Alligator mississippiensis: one gene and its partners. The protein of the gene in region 2 interacts with the protein of the main gene of each other region in a pairwise test. Links are inferred from orthologs where the notes say so. Each region holds a gene or a part of one and is shown on either strand. Other genes may lie near its edges.

Region 1 (6,461 bases), on a different chromosome or scaffold from region 2:
TGTTCCAAAGTCCAATAAAGCAGGCACATTTGCAGCTAACAGCATACTGAAGCAGTTAAAATGAAGGATGGGAATGGTTGTTGGCCATGCAGCTTTAATTCCTAATCCCCTTCTATCCCCTGCACAGAGCTGGGGCCACAACAGCTCCAGTTAATCTACAGTTTATCACTTTAAATCAATATATTTTGGCTAACAAACACAAACGCTAGAAGAGAAGCTTCTCTCTGCATGGGGGGAGACACAACATTGCTTTACATCTGTCGTATTGTTCTGTAGCAGCAACACCCTGCAGGTTCTAGCTGATCTCCATGCTACCACCTCTCCCATTGTATGCTGTCTTCTAGAAGTCCCTGACCAAACAGAAAACAATTTCACGCATTCAGAATGCTCCCGGCAAGCTGTCCCATCAGCTGAGAGGGGGAAAGGCAGACAGTGTGGTTAATTTTAACTTAACTGAATTATTTAGATGCTGCAAGAGCACTATGAGCTGCACCAAATTAAACTCTGAAGGCCCCCAGCAGGATCAGCGTCTCCCAGCATGAAACTGCAGGCTAGCAAGTTTACAGCAGACAGGATGAACAAAATTCCCTCCCTCCTACCCCGCCTTATACACCCACATCCCCATCCACCTAACCATCTGATTAAAATAGAAACCAGACTTAAATGACCTGGAATTCTTTTTCCCACTGATATCTGCTATACCCAGATTTTAATGTTGCTCCATATTTAGCGAGAGAAAAAAAAAGACTCCCTTCCTTCCTGTCATATTTTCCATCCTTGATGACAACCCAGATCAGAAAAAAGCAGATCTTCATTTAACTGAGGGTTTTCCATCAAAGTACGGGAGAGAAGAATCTTGCTTTAAGAGTTCGATTCATCCCGTAAGGGCGTTCAACACATGCGTTCTCATGTGTGCACGCACAGCGGTACAGCCATGGTATCTTATCTGTACGTGTCTACCCTCCCTGTTCTACATTTTGTAATGGGGAGGGGAAGAGAAAAAATGCTTAAAAGAGAGGGGCCAATCCTTAGCTGTTGAGCATTAGCACAGCTGCACTGACTCGCATGGGAAATGTGTACCTCTCAGGAAGTGGGTCTAATGGACAGATCCAGCACTGGCATAAGTCAGCACAGTTCCCATGCTGATGGGAACCACAGTGGATTTACACAACCTGAGGCTCTCACCCTCAAGCTGCAGGAGTTAGATTTTACTTGCATCAAGTGACATACTTACTTCACACAGGACTGGGAGTTTTTAGCTATGCAACAATAAAGAAATATTAATCATCAAGTGCAGACACTGCGTTCTATATTGTGTAGCCACTTGGTTCCTATACCACGTGCTTTGTCTATGTAGGCATTGTATTTGTGTGCAGTGCCCAGAAGAAGGGAGGAGAAAAAGAAAATTTTAGCTCTTCACCTGTCAGTAAGGCTGACGGCATGTAGAGTGCAGGTTTGGGGGAGAAGGAGGGATTAAATAAAAATGGCCCTCTTCCTTGGAACTCTAGAATGTGAGTGTGTTCACATAACCCCTGCAACAGTGCCCTCATCCACCAGCTTTACTTGTGCCAGGATAAGGTGTTCTTAGTGTTTCGGAGCAACATGCCTTGTGGTTGTACAACAGGGTTGTTTGTGCATCGCTCTAAGATTAGGTTAGACAAGCACTTATATGGGATGGTCTAGATAGGGATGATCCTGCCTTGAGCAGCAGGTTGGACTAGATGACTTCTGGAGGTCCCTTCCAGCCCTACTTTTCTTTGATTCCATTAAAAATTGTGGTTTACTTGCTAACAGCCCTTTTTACCCCCACAGCACATTCAGCTTGGAGTATTAGTTTACATAACATCAAGCCTTGGAAGCTGCACAGATATATCATCACCATTTCACAGATGGAGAAATGGAGGCACAAAGAAGTGAAGTAACTTGTTTAGAAGTTCAGGAAAAGTTACTGGCAGAAAAAGAAAGATGACTCAAGCATACCGCATCCCGGGCCCCTGCTTAAAACTGCAAATCCTCCCTTAAGGAAAAGGGATTTACATGAACACAAAGACAGTTGTGTGCTTGTGACACAATCCTGGGGCACCGGAGGTCTAGCGTCTGTTCCCAGCTCTTCAATGATCCCGCAAATCACTGAACAGGAGTATTGCTTGCAAGGCAGGGAAGCAATTCTTCTGTACTATTCAGCATTGGTGAGGCCTCACCTGGACTACTGCACCCAGTTTTGGACACTGTACATGAAGAAAGAGGTGGAGAAGTTTGAGAGTCTAGCAGAAAACAGCACACATGATCAGAGGTCTAGGAATCACTGCTTATAGGGAAAGGCTGGAAGAACTGGGATTATTTGGTCTGGAAAAGAGAAGATTGAGGAGTGATTTGGTAACAGTCTTCAAATACCTGAAGTGTGGCTATGAAGCGAGCAGCGATAGACTGCAGGGAACAGGACAAGCAGTAATAGGTAGTTTTAAATGGCAACAAGGGAAATGTAGGTTGGATATTAGGAAGAGCTGTCTAACTGTGGGGACAGGTGGGTATTGGAATAGACTGCCTAGAGAAAAAATTGTGAAATGTTCTTTATTGGAAGTTTTTAACAGCAGGTTAGATAAGTGTTTGCCTGGAACAGTTCAGACAAGGCTGGTCCTTCCTTGAGCATGGAGCTGGAGTACATGACCTCCTGAGGTCCTGCCCAGCTCCACCTTTCTACGATTGTAACCCTCAATCCTACTGAAATCACTGAATCATAGAAAATGAGGGCTGGAAGGGAGCTCAGGAGGTGACATCTAGTCCAACCCCCTGCTCCAAGCAGGACCAGCCCCAACTACATCATCCCAGCCAAGGCTGTGTCCTAACCGGGTCTTAAACACCTTCAAGGATGGAGACGCCACCACTTCTCTGGGTAGCCTGTTCCAGCGTTTCACTACCCTCCATATGATAGTCTGTCCTAATATCCAACCTCAACTTTCCTTGCTGCAGCTTGAGCCCATTGCTCCTTGTCCTGTCATCTGCCCCCACTGAGACCAGTCCAGCTCTGTTCTCTTTGCAGCCCCCCTGCAGGGAGGTGAAGGCTGCTATCAATCCCCCTCGGTCTTCTCATCTGCAGACTAAATCAGCCCAGCTCCGTCAGCCTCTCCTCACCAGTCCTGTCCCCCAGCCCCGCAACCATTTTCATTGCCCTCCACTGGGCTCTCTCCAACTTGTCCACCTCCTTTCCATAGCGGGGGGGCCCAAACCCGAACACAGCGCTCCCGATGCGGCCTCACCAGCGCGCGAGCAGGCGGAAAGCACAGGTCCGCACCGATGTCGCTCCGCGCGGGTTTCAGGGTCTGCCACACAAAAAGCTCGTTACACCTCACAGCCCTAACCCCTGCGCCCACATCTGCACGACAGGGATAGCACCGCTTCCTCTCTCGCGGCTTCGCTCTCATCTATTTAAGTTACAAACCCTCCACGGGAGGGTCCCGCTCAGCCCGCGCCAGGCGCTGCACGTAACAACGGCATGCAGCGGCCTCGGAGGATTTACGGAGGCTTTTTAGTTGGTTTTTCACAGTCGAGGATTTCGTTTCCTCTCCTATCGGAGAGCGGGGAGAGGCGGAAACGGCGACAGAGCTGGGCTCAACCCACGCTGCCCCGAACGTCGCATGCGAAAGCCACCGGGGACCTCCAGGGAGCAGGCGGAGACCCCCGCGCGCGCCCACCCGGGGACACGGAGCTGGGCAGCTTCCCCCCTTCCTCTCTGGTCACCCTCCTCCAGGCCCGACCCCGTCCATGATCGCGGTGGGAGTGAGTTGCGGTGGGAGAGGCCGGGCCGCGCTCGCGCTGGCACTCACCCCGCCGCGGGCTGCCCCCGCCGCCGTCACTCCGCAGCGGCCCTCGGCGCCACAGCATGGAGCCCGGCCCCGGCCCGGCCCCGGCCTGCCGGGACGTCGCCCCACGCCGCGGGGCTCGGCGCCGTCAGCAGCGGCTGCGACCGTGCCGCGCGCTCCCCGCCATGGTGCCGCTCCACGCGCGGCGCGCGACTGACAGGCGGGCGGGGGCAGGGGGCGGGGCCACGGCGGCCGTTGGGCGGGGGCAGGGGGCGGGGCCGGGCAGCCGTTGGGCGGGGGGCGTGCCCGGGCCGGCCGTTCAGCAGGGGCGCGGGGAGGGAGGAGCCGCGCCCCTTTCCCGTCCATCAAAGCGGATGGAAGATAAGAGCCGCCCGCCGATTGGCTCTCTCAGAGGCCCGCGCGGATTGGCAGCGCCGGCTCACGCCCTCCCCCCCCCGACAGGCCTGTGCCACGGTGGGCGAGGCCACCGGAATTACCGTATGTCTGCGAACATTTCCACCCGCCATCGGTAACCGAATGCTCTCCTGCGCGAGCGCACCCTCATTTTGGGAACGCAGAACTGGCCTGGTTTGTCAGCAGAGACAATCCTCGCCTCGGGTCAGCTGCTGCGCCGGGCGCGGCTTCACAGCCGGAGTTACAGCCTGACACCATGAGCTGACACCTCTTCTTGGACCAAGAAATCGCAAATAAATAAATACATGAATAAATAAAATCTTTATTTTTTAATTTTTTTAAAAAAAATTAATATTTAAAAAATGTAAAGATAATGTTTATCTTTAAATTTTAATTTTTTTAAATTATCTTGAATTTAAAAAAAATAATTTTTAATTTTTTAAAAAGATTATTTTTATCTATTTTCTTAATTTAAAAAATTAAAAATATCATTTTATCTTTAATTGTTTTCATTTTATTTTTTAAAGATCATTATCTTTACATTTTTTATTAAAAAGATAATTTATCTTTAACTTTAAAAATCTTTAATTTTTCATTTTTTAAAAAACATGGTTTTTATCTTTTTCTTAATTTAAAAAAATTAAAAAGATAATTTTATCTTTATTTTTTCATTTTATTTTTTTTAAATAATCATCTTTAATTTTTTTATTTTTTCAAAAATTTAAAAAGATAATTGTATCTTCAATTTAAAATCATTAATTTTTAATTTTTAAAAATTTTATCTTTATTTTCTTAATTTATTAAAAAATTAAAAATAATTTTATCTTTAATTTTTTCTTTTAAGTTTTTAAAGATTTTTTTCTTTAAATTTTTATTCATTAAAAAATTATAATTTAAAAAATGATGTTTTAATTAAAGATAAGATTATCTTTTTTAATTAAAAAAGATTATCTTTATTTTCTTAATTTAAAAACAACATTCAAATATAATTTTTCTTTATTTTTTATTTTTTAAAAGGATGATTTTTATCTTTATTTTTATATTTTAAAAATAAAACAATTTTGTCTTTAAGTTTTAAACATTTTTTAATTTTGAATTTTTTAACAGATCATTTTTATCTTTTATTTCTTAATTTTTAAAAACAATTTAAAAGATCATTTTATCTTCCATTGTTTTTCATTAAAAAAGAAAATGAACAGATGATTTCTGAGCTGGTCTAATAAAAGGCATCATCTCTGAACCAGGAGTTGTAGAGTTTTGCATTTCTTTCTTGGCTCAGGCCAACACGGCCACCAGACACATCGCTGGAAATGTCTTCAATCCTTACTTGATGCAGCGCAGCAAAACCCGCGCGGCTCCCAGGGAGTCTTAGCCAGGTGCGGGGCTCGCTGTCAGCACTTCCCTACGGCTCCTGCCTCCAAAATAAAGAAATGCTTCACGTTTGATGACCCAGCTCGCACTCACTCGCTGGCAGGTGATAGTGAGAAGTATAAAGTAAATCAAAAGAAGACTTCTTTGCATGGTTATTTGAATCAGTTTTCAGTGTGCATTTTGAGCTTCCAATAGAAGATTTCATATTTCAGACCTGGCAGCACTGGCTGGGCCCCCGCCGGGTGTGCAGTGCCTGGGGCAGGCTCCTCTTCGCCTCCTGGCCTTGCTCCCAGCCCTGGGTGGGTGCACCCTGCTGGGGGCTGCTGCCCCGGGCTCCTGCAGGCCCCCACCCTCAGAGTACCTTGGTGCCCCCCAGTCCGAACGGGAAGCACCGGGGGGAACTGGCCTGGTTTTGTGCCTTCTGCATGTGCCTCCCAGAGATCAGGCCTCGTCCTCCAGTGAGAAGCGCCTAGGTGAAGCCCCAGCCCCTCATCTCCTGAAGTCACGGTGTCTTGACCCGTCCCCCGCGGCTCATCCAGCACGCACATCCAGCGCTGCTCCATTAAGGCATTGAGTCCTACTTTTCCTACCGACTTCACGTCGTTAAAAGGGTAGCGTGGGGATCCGACGGTTCGTCTCCCTTCTGATGTTGGCATCTTGTCCGTAGGCTCTTCCGGACAGGCCTTGTGCTCTTGCTGGACGCCGGGGCAATCAGATCGTGTTCCTGAGTGCAGCTGTGCCCACGGGAGCATCCCAAAATCACAAGCGGGGTTCCCCAAATCATGCTGTATCTGGGGGTTTTTTGCTTGGCTGTCTGTTGTGGAGAGCCGTGGGGTATGCTTAGGTCATGTGTTCAAGCTTTTGTTTGCAACCGCA
Region 2 (6,461 bases):
GCAAGTTCAGCTTCACATTCCTCATGCTGGCTCTTGAAGAGCTCCTGACCAAGTATGGTTTGACCTCAAGGGAGCAATTTGTAGCCCTATGAACAAACTGGTTTGGCCAGTCAGCTGTACTACTGCCTAAAACTGGCATATCACAAAGATTTCAGTAAACCTTACCATACAAATGCAAAAACCACCCCTCAGGAACATCACAGCACTATGATGCCTGACGAAGGGTTTTTGAACCCGAAAGCTTGCTTAATAACTATTCTCCAACCATTTGGTTTGGTTTAATAAAAGATATCAAATTCACGCAAGGAACCTTGACAGCACTATGAGGCACTCCCTGAAAGACTCTCTCTAAATTAACAAGTGAATTACAATGGACTGCTTGGATTGCAAAGTCTCTAAGGTAGGGACCTTGTTTCCTTACTTGCTTGTAAAGCTTCGAATATATACCCATAATGCAATAAACATACTAGCATTTACTGTTTTCATCTCTGGGTATAGTTTATTCATCTCAAACAGACACATTTAACTTTAGAGTCTCATCTTACCAACAATACCTTTTTCCCGTATGGTACATCTCTACCCAACTTTCTCCCCATGAAAAAGATCAAATCCTTACCAAAAGTATGAAAAGCAAGGGTTGAACTGAGTGTACATTTCCTGAATTTTTACTGCTTTATCCCTCCCTCCTTGTATAGCAGAAATTTACCTTGAAAGCGCAGAATTGCATACTAATATGAGTATAAGACGTTTTATTTGTACTTAAGGCACTCATGTAAAGGCTGGTCCCCAAACAGTTTTTGACCAAAACAAGCTACACCACTGTAAACTCTATCACTGTATCCACACTAAAAGATTGCACCAATTTAACAATTTCAGCTTCCTAACTAATGCAATTAAAACATTACCTAGAAGGTAATGAACTCCAACATGCTGGATACAATGGGAAACCAAAACAGGACTTCTACAATTCATGACTACCAAACATTTCCCCTTGCACGTGCCCAAAGTACAACGTTGGGATGCTCCTCATTACTGTATGGTGCAGGGTGGTTAAAAATCAATGATTTTATTTAAAAAATAAAACATCTGAAATAAAAGTTTTTTAAATGTAATCATATTTTTAAATTCTTGTTGTTAACATGCTTTTAAAAAAATAAACTGACATAAAGATAGTTTTAAGATACGTTAAAGTTCAAAGATATCATCATGGAATAGGGATTATAACTTCTAATTATGCACTATTTGAGACAATATATTCACGTAACCTTTTTACAAGTTTTACATATAGGTCACAACAGGCATGGACTATATTAGGGGCCCAATCATGTGGCTCCTATATAGATTAGTAAAAATTAAAGAAAACCATTCTACCCAATGGTACTCAGTGCTCAGTCTAGAGTCTAGCCTCTAGTCTAGACGATCCCGTTAAGCATCTCTGTGATGCTTAGTTTCAGTTCTCAAACTATGGATTTGTCTCTCCAAAGATCATAGGCAGACAAGGTTCTTTGGGCAGATGTGCTATCTTTTATTAGACCAACTAAATAGTTGGAAAAATTGTTCTTTGCAAACCTTTGGGCATAACTGCCCTTCTTCAGGCATAAGACTGAGTTTGTTGTCTCCAGAGATAACATCCTTGTTAACAGCAGTATATGGAGATGAGAGATAACAAACCTGATTACCTACCCATCAGCCCTCTGTCTCTCTGCAAGTGTGTACACACACAGTCAGGCCCTTACCTTTCTCTAAAAGTGCAAAGTTTCAAGAAGTTCAATTAATAAAGGATATCAAACAACAAGAATGCACTTTTTGTAGAAAACAATGATTAAATCGAGACTTCTGATGCATGATTTAAATTGTGTTTTAAATCAGGATTTAAATGGATTTGATTTGTCAGATCCACCCTGCTACAGTGCACAGTAGAATAGCCAAAAACAGAAAATAAAAATTACCAGCACAAAACTGATGATACAAGAGTGAAAAGCACTTTATTTGAATTGTGCTACCACTGAACAGTTACACTCCAAGTTACCATTGATCAGCTTCCCTAGACAGTAAATATTGTTCCTATTGCCACCCAGCAGCTTCTGATCTCATCCATGCATTAGGGAAAGACCAAATGAATTTTATTGTGATAATTTCAGTTTATACTATTGTATGCAAGCTACAGACTAATCCTAATCAATCCATAAAAGCCTTCAAGAACCACATCTTGCTTGGTTTCAGAACGTGCACAATTCCTGTTTGTTTTTTAAAGCACAGCAGCATCACAAAGTATTTCGTTGTTCCCCCGGCCATATTTAAGGGTTTTTTTCTTCAAACATTTTGGAAAAAGATAAAAACTATTATTAAAAGTGATCTCCGTGATCAAAACAAATTTAAGTCTTGTCCATTTTCAATAATTTTCTAACAAACATTGTGTTAGCATCCTTTTTTGAGACATCAGCTCTTTGTATGTAGTGATGTTCAAATAAAACTGTTAATGGGTTTAGTTGCAAGTATTTCCAACTGAAAACATATGTCCAAAAAAGTTTATTATAACACTTCATCATTTTCTACTGCTGGGCAGGTTCATGACAATGCGACTGCATTTTGCATTTCAGGGTCCATGGGTTCAAAAGGCCAACAGGATTTTGAGGAGGTAAGTTTGGGAGTCTTAAAGAACATTGGTTCAACCTTCCTCTGACAACTTAGAATTAACATTTGGAGTTATTATTTTACAATTCTCAAGTAAGGCAGGATTCCTGCATTACTAATTTCAATGGTAGTTTTATTATTTACTTCAACAGCAGCGCAAACAAGCACTTTCCTACTAGTCTTTAGTGACTGTACATTACAGTGAAAAATGAACTGAGCCAACAGGACATCCAAAAGAAGTACTGCCTTTTAACAACGTTAGGTCTTGATCTCTTTCAGACTCAAAGAGCTATTGCCAAACCAAGCACATTGAGAATAAATCCTGCTGGTCCCCATTTCCTTACTGCCAACCCGTTATAATCATAAGACAACTACTACCTGATTTTTGCAAGCTTGCTTTAAACAGCATGTAAGCTATAGTGTTTATCCATAGGGATATATATATCCGGTAGAGTCTCTGCAACTCAGATAAGAGTTTTCTCTGGGCCACAGCGCAGAGACCACTTACTTCATTTAAAAAAAAAAAGTTGAGGGGGGAAAATGAAGGGAGGAAAAAGGGGGAAAAGGGGGAAGGAAAAAGAGGGGGGAGAGGAGGAGGGGAGGAGGGAAAATAACCTGCCCTTGTTATATCCACAGCGGGTATGAACTCACTCCTGAGGGATTCAAATAGGGCAACTAGTAAGTAGTTTCAAAAAAGGTGGGGTTCTCCTTTGCCCGATGGTTTTGCCAGGCACAAGATGCAGATCCCCTTGAGCCCAGCTCCCACATCAGACCTTATAAAAACCACAAGTGTCCCCTCCCCCCTCCTTCCCGGCTTTTTCCTTTAAAAAAAAAAAAAAAGTTTTATTTTTTTTTAAGTGTTTGGCAGATGTTCAAGATAAAGACGCCTCTGCCTGGAACCGAAGCTGCTCTGCCTGCTCTTACAAAAGAGCCAGCCGGACCAGCCAGGGACTCTTCCCCCTCCTCCTGCCTTGCAACCGGTTCCCCATGGAAGCCTCAGCCCCTGTCACAACCGCCCGGGCCCGCTCAGGGACACGCACACACACGCGCCCAGCTGACAGCCCGCCAGAGACGCGCGGCTCATTCATAAAGACAGCCGGCGCGCGTAGCGCTCGCCCCTCGGCCAGGAGCAGAACTCAGCCAAGGTTCCAAGAGGCGGATATAGAACGCGGCGAGCGTTCCGAGGGGAAGGAACAGAACGTAGCGAGGGTTCCAAAAGGGCTCGGAATAGAACGCCGCGAGCATTCCGCGGGGGGGATAGAACGTAGTGAGAGTTCGCGGGGCGGGGGGAATAGAACGTAGCGAGCGTTCCAAGAGGGGGCAGAACTTAGCGAGGATAACACAGGGGGAACAGAACGTAACGAGGGATGGGGGGTCCCGCCTGGGGGGCCTCGAGCCACACGAGGGGGGGAGCCCGCGGCTGGGGGGCTGCACGCACCTTTCTTCTCCTCCACGGCGGAGCACGGCCCGAGCAGCAGCAGCAGGATAGCGGCTGCCCCGGCCCGGCCGGCTCTGGCTCCTGCGCCCAGGCGGCGGCTCCTGCTGTCCCGCATCCCGGCGCTGCCGCTGCTGCTGCTGTAATCCCGTGGCTGGTGCTGCTGCTCTCAGCCCCGCGCGCCCGGGCTCCCGGCGGCCGCCACTGCACTGCCCATGCTGCAGGGGGGCGGGCACGGACTCGGGAGGAGGCGGCGCTGCTGCTGGGCTGGGCTGGAGAGGGGGGAGCTGCGGGTCGCAGCCGCCGGCCCCACGCGGGCGCTGGGTCGGGCCGGGGGTGGCTGCGGTCTTCCTCCGCCGGGAGCTCCGCCCGGGCCGCCTCGCTCGCCAAAACTTTCCCCTGCTGCCGGCGGGGCGGGGACGCTGGCGCTGCTGCCCCGCCAGGTGCCACCCCCACCGCCTGCCTCACCTGGCGGGGTGGAGCCGGGGACAAGCTCCTCCTCGGGGGCAGCAGGGCTTTGCCCCCTGTTCCGGGCGCCTCGGCGCCCTCTCCCGGCCAGCTCTGACGGAAGGCGGCCCGGCTTGCCCGGGCCTGGAGCTGGCTCTCATGCCCCTCAAGGCGCCTCTCCCTTGGAGCCCCCACCCCGCGCTCAAGAAAAGCTCTTCCTTAGCCACCACAGACCGAAAACAGAGCAGTTCTCTTGCAAAAGGAAGGACTTCCTAGGGGGAAGAGAGGTGCCAACCCTGCATTCCCAGAAACAGGCACCAGCTGCAATTGGGACTTCCCACATTTGTATAGAAAAGCCATAGGGGTTAGGGACACAAAGGCAGTCCCAATTCACAGCACAGCTCTGGCGACCTCCCCTGCTTCCTCGTGCCCTTTCAAACCTGTTAGGCAGGATTTCCTAGGGGGATATTTTTCTTGCCCCCCCCCCCACCCGGAATGAAGGGAGGCAAGCTTTCCAGGGTCTGGATTACACTTTGACTCTTGGAGGGGGCTGGAAAAAAAAAATTGGGGTGCCTATCATGATGCTATAATAAAAACGAAGACCCTCCCCTCAAGTTATGATTTTCAACTCTTACAGGGTGGGGGGGCTTCTGTCTCTTATGGGGTGGCTCAGCCATGGAGCTCCCCCGGTAATTCAAACCCTGAAGCTTTCCAGTTTAAGACCACCTTCCTTAGGTCTTTGAATATAGGCATCCTAGAGGAGGGGTGAGGGGAAATGTGCAGGTCTAGCAGACACACTGAGCAGATAAAAGCACCCAAGTCCTGGGAGATCAAGGCCTATCAAAGGGGGAGGAATAGGGGAGGATCAGGAAGGAGGTCTGAAATCTTGTCTAATTCTATCCCAGCTCCATAGCTGCTCCAATAAAACAGATCGCCTGCAGAAATCCTTGCCTCCTCACATCACTTCTGGTCTGTCACGCATACAATGTTACTCTTATTGCTACTGTTTTTCTGTTGCAAAGAGGGCAAGCAGGTCCCAACAGGGCAGGCAAGGTTTAGCCCTGCAGGTTCATCATTGAAGCCTCTGGGTTTCTAATTATGTTTGCCCACCCAACAGCAGTAGAGAGGATCTCTCCCTCCAATGGAGAATCACCAGCCTAGAGCCACCAGTGAAATTCCAGCCACCTCTCAGACCCCACTGCCTCACTCAGCCAGTCACAGAGCTGGTGCCTTCCCTGGCTATATCAGAGGCTACCTGCAACCCCAGTGGGAATGGGTAACTAGTTTGGCTTGAGTGGAGTGACTCCTGCCTTCCACTTGTGCCAGGGAAATCAAACTCCCTTCCCTTCCCTCAGGTGCATGCCTAGGTGTGCTGGCAGAAAGGCAATGCTATATCATGCTGGTTACAAGGAGAGAATAGCAGCAGCTGGCCCAGAACTTTATCAGAGAAAGGGGGTGGGGGAGAGAAGAAACCTGATAAAAGGTAATTGTGGGTGATTGGAGCTACAGGATAAATTAGTCTTGGTTTTCATCACTTCCAAAATAGAGTGTTACTAAAGGTTGAAATAAAAAATGCTAAGAAGCTTGGAGAAGGAGCTGACCCAGGGGGAAGAAGCCAAGTTTGTCAATAATTACCTTCTGAAGTTAATGATTTAAAAGATTAGGACACAGTACCAGCTCCTACTCTCACTCAAGTGGACTGGAGTTTTGCCACTGCCTTCTGCAGGATGGATCCTGCTCACGTTGCATGTACGTTTACCCCCACTACTTAAAAAAGTTGGTGACACAGGAGGACAAAGTTAAGAAAAATGCCACTGTTTCTGTGCATCACTTATTCCACAGGAAACTCAGAATCTCTTTGCCACTGGCCTTACTTCAGACTAATAGTTTTTTACCATAGTATAAATATATGTTCCTGCTTCCACTTGTCTTCTGGATAGGGGCC
Region 3 (6,461 bases), on a different chromosome or scaffold from region 2:
AGCTCCAGCCAAAATTGCCATGCAATAAGGTCCTAACAGTTCTTGTTCCTTTTTGGGGGTGGGGAGGGGGAGGTGGTTCTTCAACAGTAAATAGGAAAGACCAGGACATTCTGGTGACACAACAAGCAGGGAGTAAACTATCCACAACTTCTAAGGCTATATTTAGATCTCAAAAAAGGTGGGGCTGCTGCTGATACATGTGTGACTATGCATAATTGCTTGCAGAGTCAGGAACCAGATGGAACCAATATACATATATTGTATACTAGAAGTCCACCGATACATCGGTCCAATATCAGAAAGTTGACTGTATCGGAAATTGGCTTTTTTTTTGCCTGATGTGGCCAATAATTTGGCTGATAAATGCCCTGTGCATGCATGCAGCAACAGTGTAGCACATAGGTGGGGAAGAGCATAGCTCAGCAGCATGGAGAGTTGTGTCCAGCTGGTAAGTCTATTGTGGTGGAAGGGAAAGGGGGAGGGAAGGGGCATGGGAGGGAAGATTGAGGCCCCTGTGGTGAGGGAAGGAGTGGGGCTGGGGCAGGTGCTGCCCAGCTGGGGTACGGCAGGGTGGGGAATGGGACATGGGATGGAGCTGCAGCTCATCTGAGGGGTGCCAGGGGACTGGCTCCTGCTGCTGCATGCACCCCAGGAGGGCATGGGGGAGTGTATGCCCCTGCATGTGTGCGGTATGGGGTGGGCTGCTGCGGGCTGGGGCCAGGGCTGGGCCAGGCTGCACTCAGGGTGGGCCAGGCAGTGGTGCTGGGAGGGGTGGTTTTTGAAGGGGCTACAGTGAATTTTGGGGTGGCTGCAGCCCCTCTGGTAACTCCCGTCCCAGCACCACAGCTGCCCACCCTGAGCGCAGCCTGGCCCAACTGCTCACTGGGAAGAGCTTGGCATAGCCCCAGCCCCAGCCCACAGTGGCAGCCTGCCCTTGCCCTGTACAGATCCAGGGGCACTCACCCCCCCCATGCCCTCCCAGGGTGTGTGCAGTGGTGGGAGCTGCCCCTGCAACCTCCAGACAAACCGCGGCTGTCCTATGTCCTGCCCCAGCCCCTCTCCCTCCCTCACCACAAGGGTCTCAAGGGCCCCCCATGCGCCTTCCCTGCCCCTGCCCCTTCCACCACAACAGACTTACCAGTCGGCCACTGCTCTTCAAGCTGCCAGGCTGCGTATCAGAAATTGGATTGGCATCAGCTGATATGCTGCCTTAAAAATTGGCTATTGGTATTGGTCCCCAAAATCTCTATTGGTGCACCCCTAATATATATATATATATATATATATATATATATATATATGTATATGTATATATATTTGTATGATTTAATAGCAGCCTTCAACTAACTACCTGAAGGGGGTTTAAAAGAGGATGGAGCTAGACTGTTCTCAGTGATGGCAGAAGACAGAACAAGAAGCAACAGTCTCAAGCTGCAGCAAGGGAGGTTTAAGTTGAATATTAGGAAAAGCTTTCTCAGGAGGAGGGTACTAAAACATTGGAACAGGTTACCCAGAGAGGTGGTGGAAGCTCCATCCTTGGAGGTTTTTAAGAACAGGTTAGACAAAGCTTTGGCTGGGAAGATCTAGTTGGGGATGGTCCTGCTTTGAGCTGGGGGTTGCACTAGAGACCTTCTGAAAATTCCAACCCTAGTGTCTATGATATCTCTATAGATCTCTCTCTCTCTATATATATCCATAGTTATTGACCCATCTATATCTAAATAAATATATATAGATCCATAGATCGATCTATATCTATAGATATATAGCTCTATATCTCTCGACATATAGATATTTATATACTTATATGAGACAATACACATGCATATATATTGTATATATGTATACCTACAAGTATGTAAGTAAATGTGTATATTCATGTGTGTGCGTGTATGTGCGCGCGTACAATATATGCATGAGTGTGTGCGCGTTTAGGTACGCATGCCCAGGTGTGTATGTACTGATGTGTGTGCGCGCGTGAGCATACATGTAACAGCCGTGAGACAAACTTCACTTGGCTTTTCCCAGCCCCTGCCTTCAGAGCGGACCAGTTTTGAAGGCAGCTTTAAAGTACCCGCTGTTTATCTCAGGGGGTCGGGGGTGGAGGGGTTTCCTGCCCTTCCTCCAAGCACAGCGCGTCTCGTCCCTTGCTACAACTCTCGCCCGCGGCCGCACGGAGCACGGCCCGGCCCCCGGCAGGCGGCGCAGCGGCAGAGGCGGAGGCGGCACTTTGGGAGCGGAGCTGCCCGCGCCGCCGGAACAAAGTGCAGCCGCCGCCGGGAGCTGGAGGCGGCCTCGGCTCTGGACCCGCTTGGCGTCGCCTTCCCCCGCGCCGGGGAGCCGCGGCCCAGGTAAGAGGCTGCGCAGCCCTCACCAGCCGGGAAGCGCGGAGGCTTCGTAACATGGCGAAGGGCAAGAGCCCTCGCTGCAAGCCGTGCGGCGGCAGCCCGCCGGGCGCAGGTCGCGGACCTGCCTGGTGCCCCGCTCCCGCCGCGGGGCTGGGGCCCCTCCCGCACGCCTTCCCCTTTGTGAGGGCGGCCCCTGGCCCTGGGCCTGCCCCTCTGCCCCTTCCTCAGCTCCCGCTGCGCCTGGGCTCCAAGCTCTGCCATTCCAGGACCCGCTGATCCTACAGTGGCTTGCACTGGGTGAGCCCCGAGCGGCTCCTTGCAGCCCCAGGGCTGTGCGAGTCCATGGCCCAAGTCTCTGATTCTCACCGGGGCGAGGGGGGAGCACCCCGAGGGGCCTCGAGGTCCTCCCCTGGGTGCTGAGGGGGCCTGAGATCCTCTCACAGGGGTCCGCGCGGTTTCAGCACCATCAGGTGGGCAAATACGATGCAGAGGATAAAAGGCAGCGATTTCAAAGGAGACTGTAGCGTCACAAGGACCCGTTGGGGTCCTTCTGAGTTTTTTGCCATAGAAACCCCCGGCGTTAGTTTTTCCATAGTCCAACCCCCCCCCCCCCCCCCAAACAAAAAACCAAAAAAACCCGAAACCAAACTCGGAGCTGACATGTTTGGAGGGGTGCCCTGAGCTTAAAAGGGCTGGGCAGTGCTTAGCCAAGAGCTCTTTATTTACATCTACTCCTTGCTTAGCATTGTAGTTAAGTTCTTGAAAATGCAACTTTAAGCAAATCCAATTACATCACAGTAGTTGCCTACTAGCAGCTGGCAGCCAAACAACATTATAACCGAACATTGCACGACTTTCAATGAGTATGTTCTCTAATAGATCAGTGACTTAATAACAAAACAACGTTAACCGAGATTACGTTAAGTGAAGAGTACCCATATTTATTTTTTTGGTCCCATCCAGGATGTAATGGGTTCCCAGGTGGATGAGGACTGGGCAGTTCTGGGTTGAGGTCGAGCACCAGAAAAGCAGCTCTGTAGTTTGAGATGAACCCTAGTTTGAAGCTGGCAGGCATGGAAATAAAACAGAAAAAAAGAAAGAGAAGAGAAAAGCTTTGCTTGAGAAGGCTATGGGTTTCCATACTTGTATGTTCCCTTAGTTGTAACATCAAGTTGGAATAAATTAAAGGCAGTGATTACATTTTGCTGGGAGCCATAAAACCATAGCGGCTGTGGTCAAATAAGAGATGTGCAGCTACTAGTGGAACTGACTCCATTTCATTTAGAAGGAAAACCTCTGGATGAGCTTAATGCTCTTTGCTTTCTCTGGTGAAACTTGTCTTCAGATGTATGATCTCACATCTGACCACATCTGAACGCTCACTCTCTTAAGTACTTCTCCTCTTGTTCTTGTGGTCCCCTTTCCCCTTTCCCATTACACAGATTTTTTTCTTTCCATTAGCAGTTGCACAACATCCTTATCTCAGCTACAAAAATTGCTTCAGTGTTCAACTAAAGTAGTATTAGCAGAATGCTTGGGTATTTAGCAGCTCGAAAACTAGGAAGTCTGTGCCATGTGTCACCCAGTCTGCTTCCATGGGACACCAGAAGAAATTCTCTACGGACAAGTGTTTAAGAATTGTTCCATCTGAAATGTTAGGTGTTCTTAACCGGCAATAGAGGAGTCCAAGGCTTTCGTTTGAAAGGCTTTCGTGACTCGAGGAAGGTTCATTACATCCTGTCTTGTCCATGGCGTTTTTGTATCAGTAAAGAATTTAGTTTTTTAGTCAAACCTGGTTATTGTCACGCTGGAGCAAATGGCCAGGTTTATTCTCTTTGTACAATGACTCTGTTGTAAGCTGGTAGTGAATAACTGTTCTTCACATGTTTGCATCATCAGCTCATGCAATGAGATGCTTAATTTAAAACTCCACTTAGGCAAACTCAGTTTTGGTTTTTGAACTGTATCACCACAATTGTCTTTGCATGTTTTCAGTTGTTCCATGATTCCTGAAAATCATTCTGTTGTATTGCATGTATAATATCAAATACAAATTGGTTTTGAATCTGTCTTCAAGATGCAGAGTCTCTTATTTTTTGTTATTTATAATCTACCTAGAGACCTCTGTAGATGCAATTAGGAAACAGAAAAACAGGGCTAGAAGGAGCCTCAAAAAATGTTGTTTAGACCACTAGTCATGGCAGGACTACCTATGTCTAAACCATTCTAGAAATAGTTTTATCTAAATTGCACTGAACTTCCCATGACAAAGATCTTACAAGCTCTCTAGGTAATCTATTCCAGAGCTTAGCCACCAGCGCAGTTAGGAAGTTCTTCTTAATAGCTGACCTAAATCTCCCTTGTTTCAATTTTAAGCCCTTAATTAAGAAGTTAATAAATATCCAACCAGAAAGAGGTTGTAATGATTGGTGAGTGTTAGGGAGGTTGTGCATAAATGATTATACAGCTGTTATAACACTCTTACTTTTTGATCGAATACACAGATTGGAAAAAAAAAAGTTTTCCATTTAATGTTTAACCTAATACTTTAAATATGATTTTTTTTCAATTGCACTCCAGATGTAAATGCCATATCACTCCTGTTAACTGTCATATTTTCTCATCTGCAAGTGAATGCTTATTAAAGCATAAACAATTGAAGTTAAATAACTAGTGCCCCAATGTCTAAAATAGTATTTAAAATATAAGAACTTCTTAACTACTGCAGTTGAGTGACAGAAAATTTAAAGGTCCATGCAGTACAGACTACATAGACAGAATCCTTGTTGGTTTTAATTTCAGTGATTACTAGTTGCTTCTGTTTCATAGTCCTTATCTCTGTTCCCTTATGGATGACTGAATGTTTGAAGAGGATTTCCTGCAAGAAGATGCTTGGGCCAGGTGAAGGGAAACTTTTGGCTCTTACTTCCCCAAGCTTTTTCTTTGGATGTAGCAGAAGCTCTTCTCTTGTACCTGAATACTGGTAACAAGGAAAAAAAGAAATGTAATGCTTTTGAGCTCTGGCCTTTAAAGTATGAGCAGTGTACAAGACTATCTTGATCCTCCTAATCAGATGCTTCCTGCATCTGTGTGGCTTGATTTCTTTTTTTTTCCTGGTGTGAATAGAATGTAACTTCTGTTTGTAGGTGGACACAAAGTTTTTCTATTTAAGAGCACCCAGTTCTTTCTCTTTTCCACTGGGTCTCAAAGCACATAAACATTGTAGCTCAGACTTATGTCCTAACTGGTTTAGGGATTAGACTGCCTTGAACAGTTTTTGTCAGGTCTGTATTTTTTTGTGGCATAGTTTTGTTTTTCACCTTGTTGCCTTGAGCCTTCATGTTTGAAGCTTTTGTTTTTTTCCTTCCCAGTGCCTAGTTAAATGGTAATTGTCACTTCAATGCCATATTTCTGCAGGAAAAATCTTGTACCCAGTGTAGTTTTGAGTAACTGATGTGTTTCTCATCCTCTGGACTTGTATACCTACTTAAATTAAGATACTCATTTTTGAAGCAAGTCAAGGGGATAATAAAAGTAGGCAGACAAGATTCTTTGAGTAGATATGACATCTTTTATTAGACCAAGTGAGTAGCTGGAAAAGAGTTCTTGGCAAGCTTTCGGGCCCAGTCACCCTTCTGACTGGGCCCGAAAGTTTGCCAAGAACTTTTTGCCAAATATTCACTTGGTCTACAAAAGATAGCATATCTACTCAAAGAACCTTGCCCTGCCTCTGTCCTTAGACCAACATGGCTACAACCAAAAACCCAGCATATATAAAACTAAACATTCTGGGGAAAAGTTTAACTTTTTTCATGGGGGGCAGTAGCCAGTGTTATGCACTGCCAGAAGCACCCTGGACCAGCCTCATTTAAGTTAGTTGGGGCTAGGTGGACATTTTAGGGGACCAGGTTGCCCCACATGTCCCCTCCCTCTGCCCATGAGCATTTATGCAGAGGTTTACAAGTCAGGCCACGATTTGCTAAACCCAAGGTAATCTGTTCTCTCAATGGTTACTTTGTACATTTGACAGCACTTTTATATAAAGTAATTTCCTTGTCCCGTGTGGCTTTAGTCATTTTCTTCTTTGCAGAAAAGACCTCAGAGATGATTCAT

Evidence for each region. The genes of interacting proteins can lie anywhere in the genome.
Region 1: the proteins of EGFR (region 2) and PTPRA interact in binary tests that used the Homo sapiens proteins (3 or more experiments, as listed by UniProt). The link is inferred for Alligator mississippiensis from reciprocal best matches to the Homo sapiens genes EGFR and PTPRA.
Region 3: the proteins of EGFR (region 2) and EPS8 interact in binary tests that used the Homo sapiens proteins (3 or more experiments, as listed by UniProt). The link is inferred for Alligator mississippiensis from reciprocal best matches to the Homo sapiens genes EGFR and EPS8.

The regions. Positions count from the first base shown.
Region 1 is NC_081825.1:7,935,409-7,941,869, forward strand, and holds the start of PTPRA (receptor-type tyrosine-protein phosphatase alpha), read right to left. Parts: upstream 3,967-6,461; 5' UTR 3,825-3,966; intron 1-3,824. UniProt on the Homo sapiens protein: Tyrosine protein phosphatase which is involved in integrin-mediated focal adhesion formation.
Region 2 is NC_081828.1:121,543,127-121,549,587, reverse strand, and holds the start of EGFR (epidermal growth factor receptor), read right to left. Parts: upstream 4,488-6,461; 5' UTR 4,188-4,487; coding exon 4,073-4,187; intron 1-4,072. UniProt on the Homo sapiens protein: Receptor tyrosine kinase binding ligands of the EGF family and activating several signaling cascades to convert extracellular cues into appropriate cellular responses.
Region 3 is NC_081827.1:120,372,162-120,378,622, reverse strand, and holds the start of EPS8 (epidermal growth factor receptor kinase substrate 8), read left to right. Parts: upstream 1-2,173; 5' UTR 2,174-2,351; intron 2,352-6,461. UniProt on the Homo sapiens protein: Signaling adapter that controls various cellular protrusions by regulating actin cytoskeleton dynamics and architecture. Depending on its association with other signal transducers, can regulate different processes.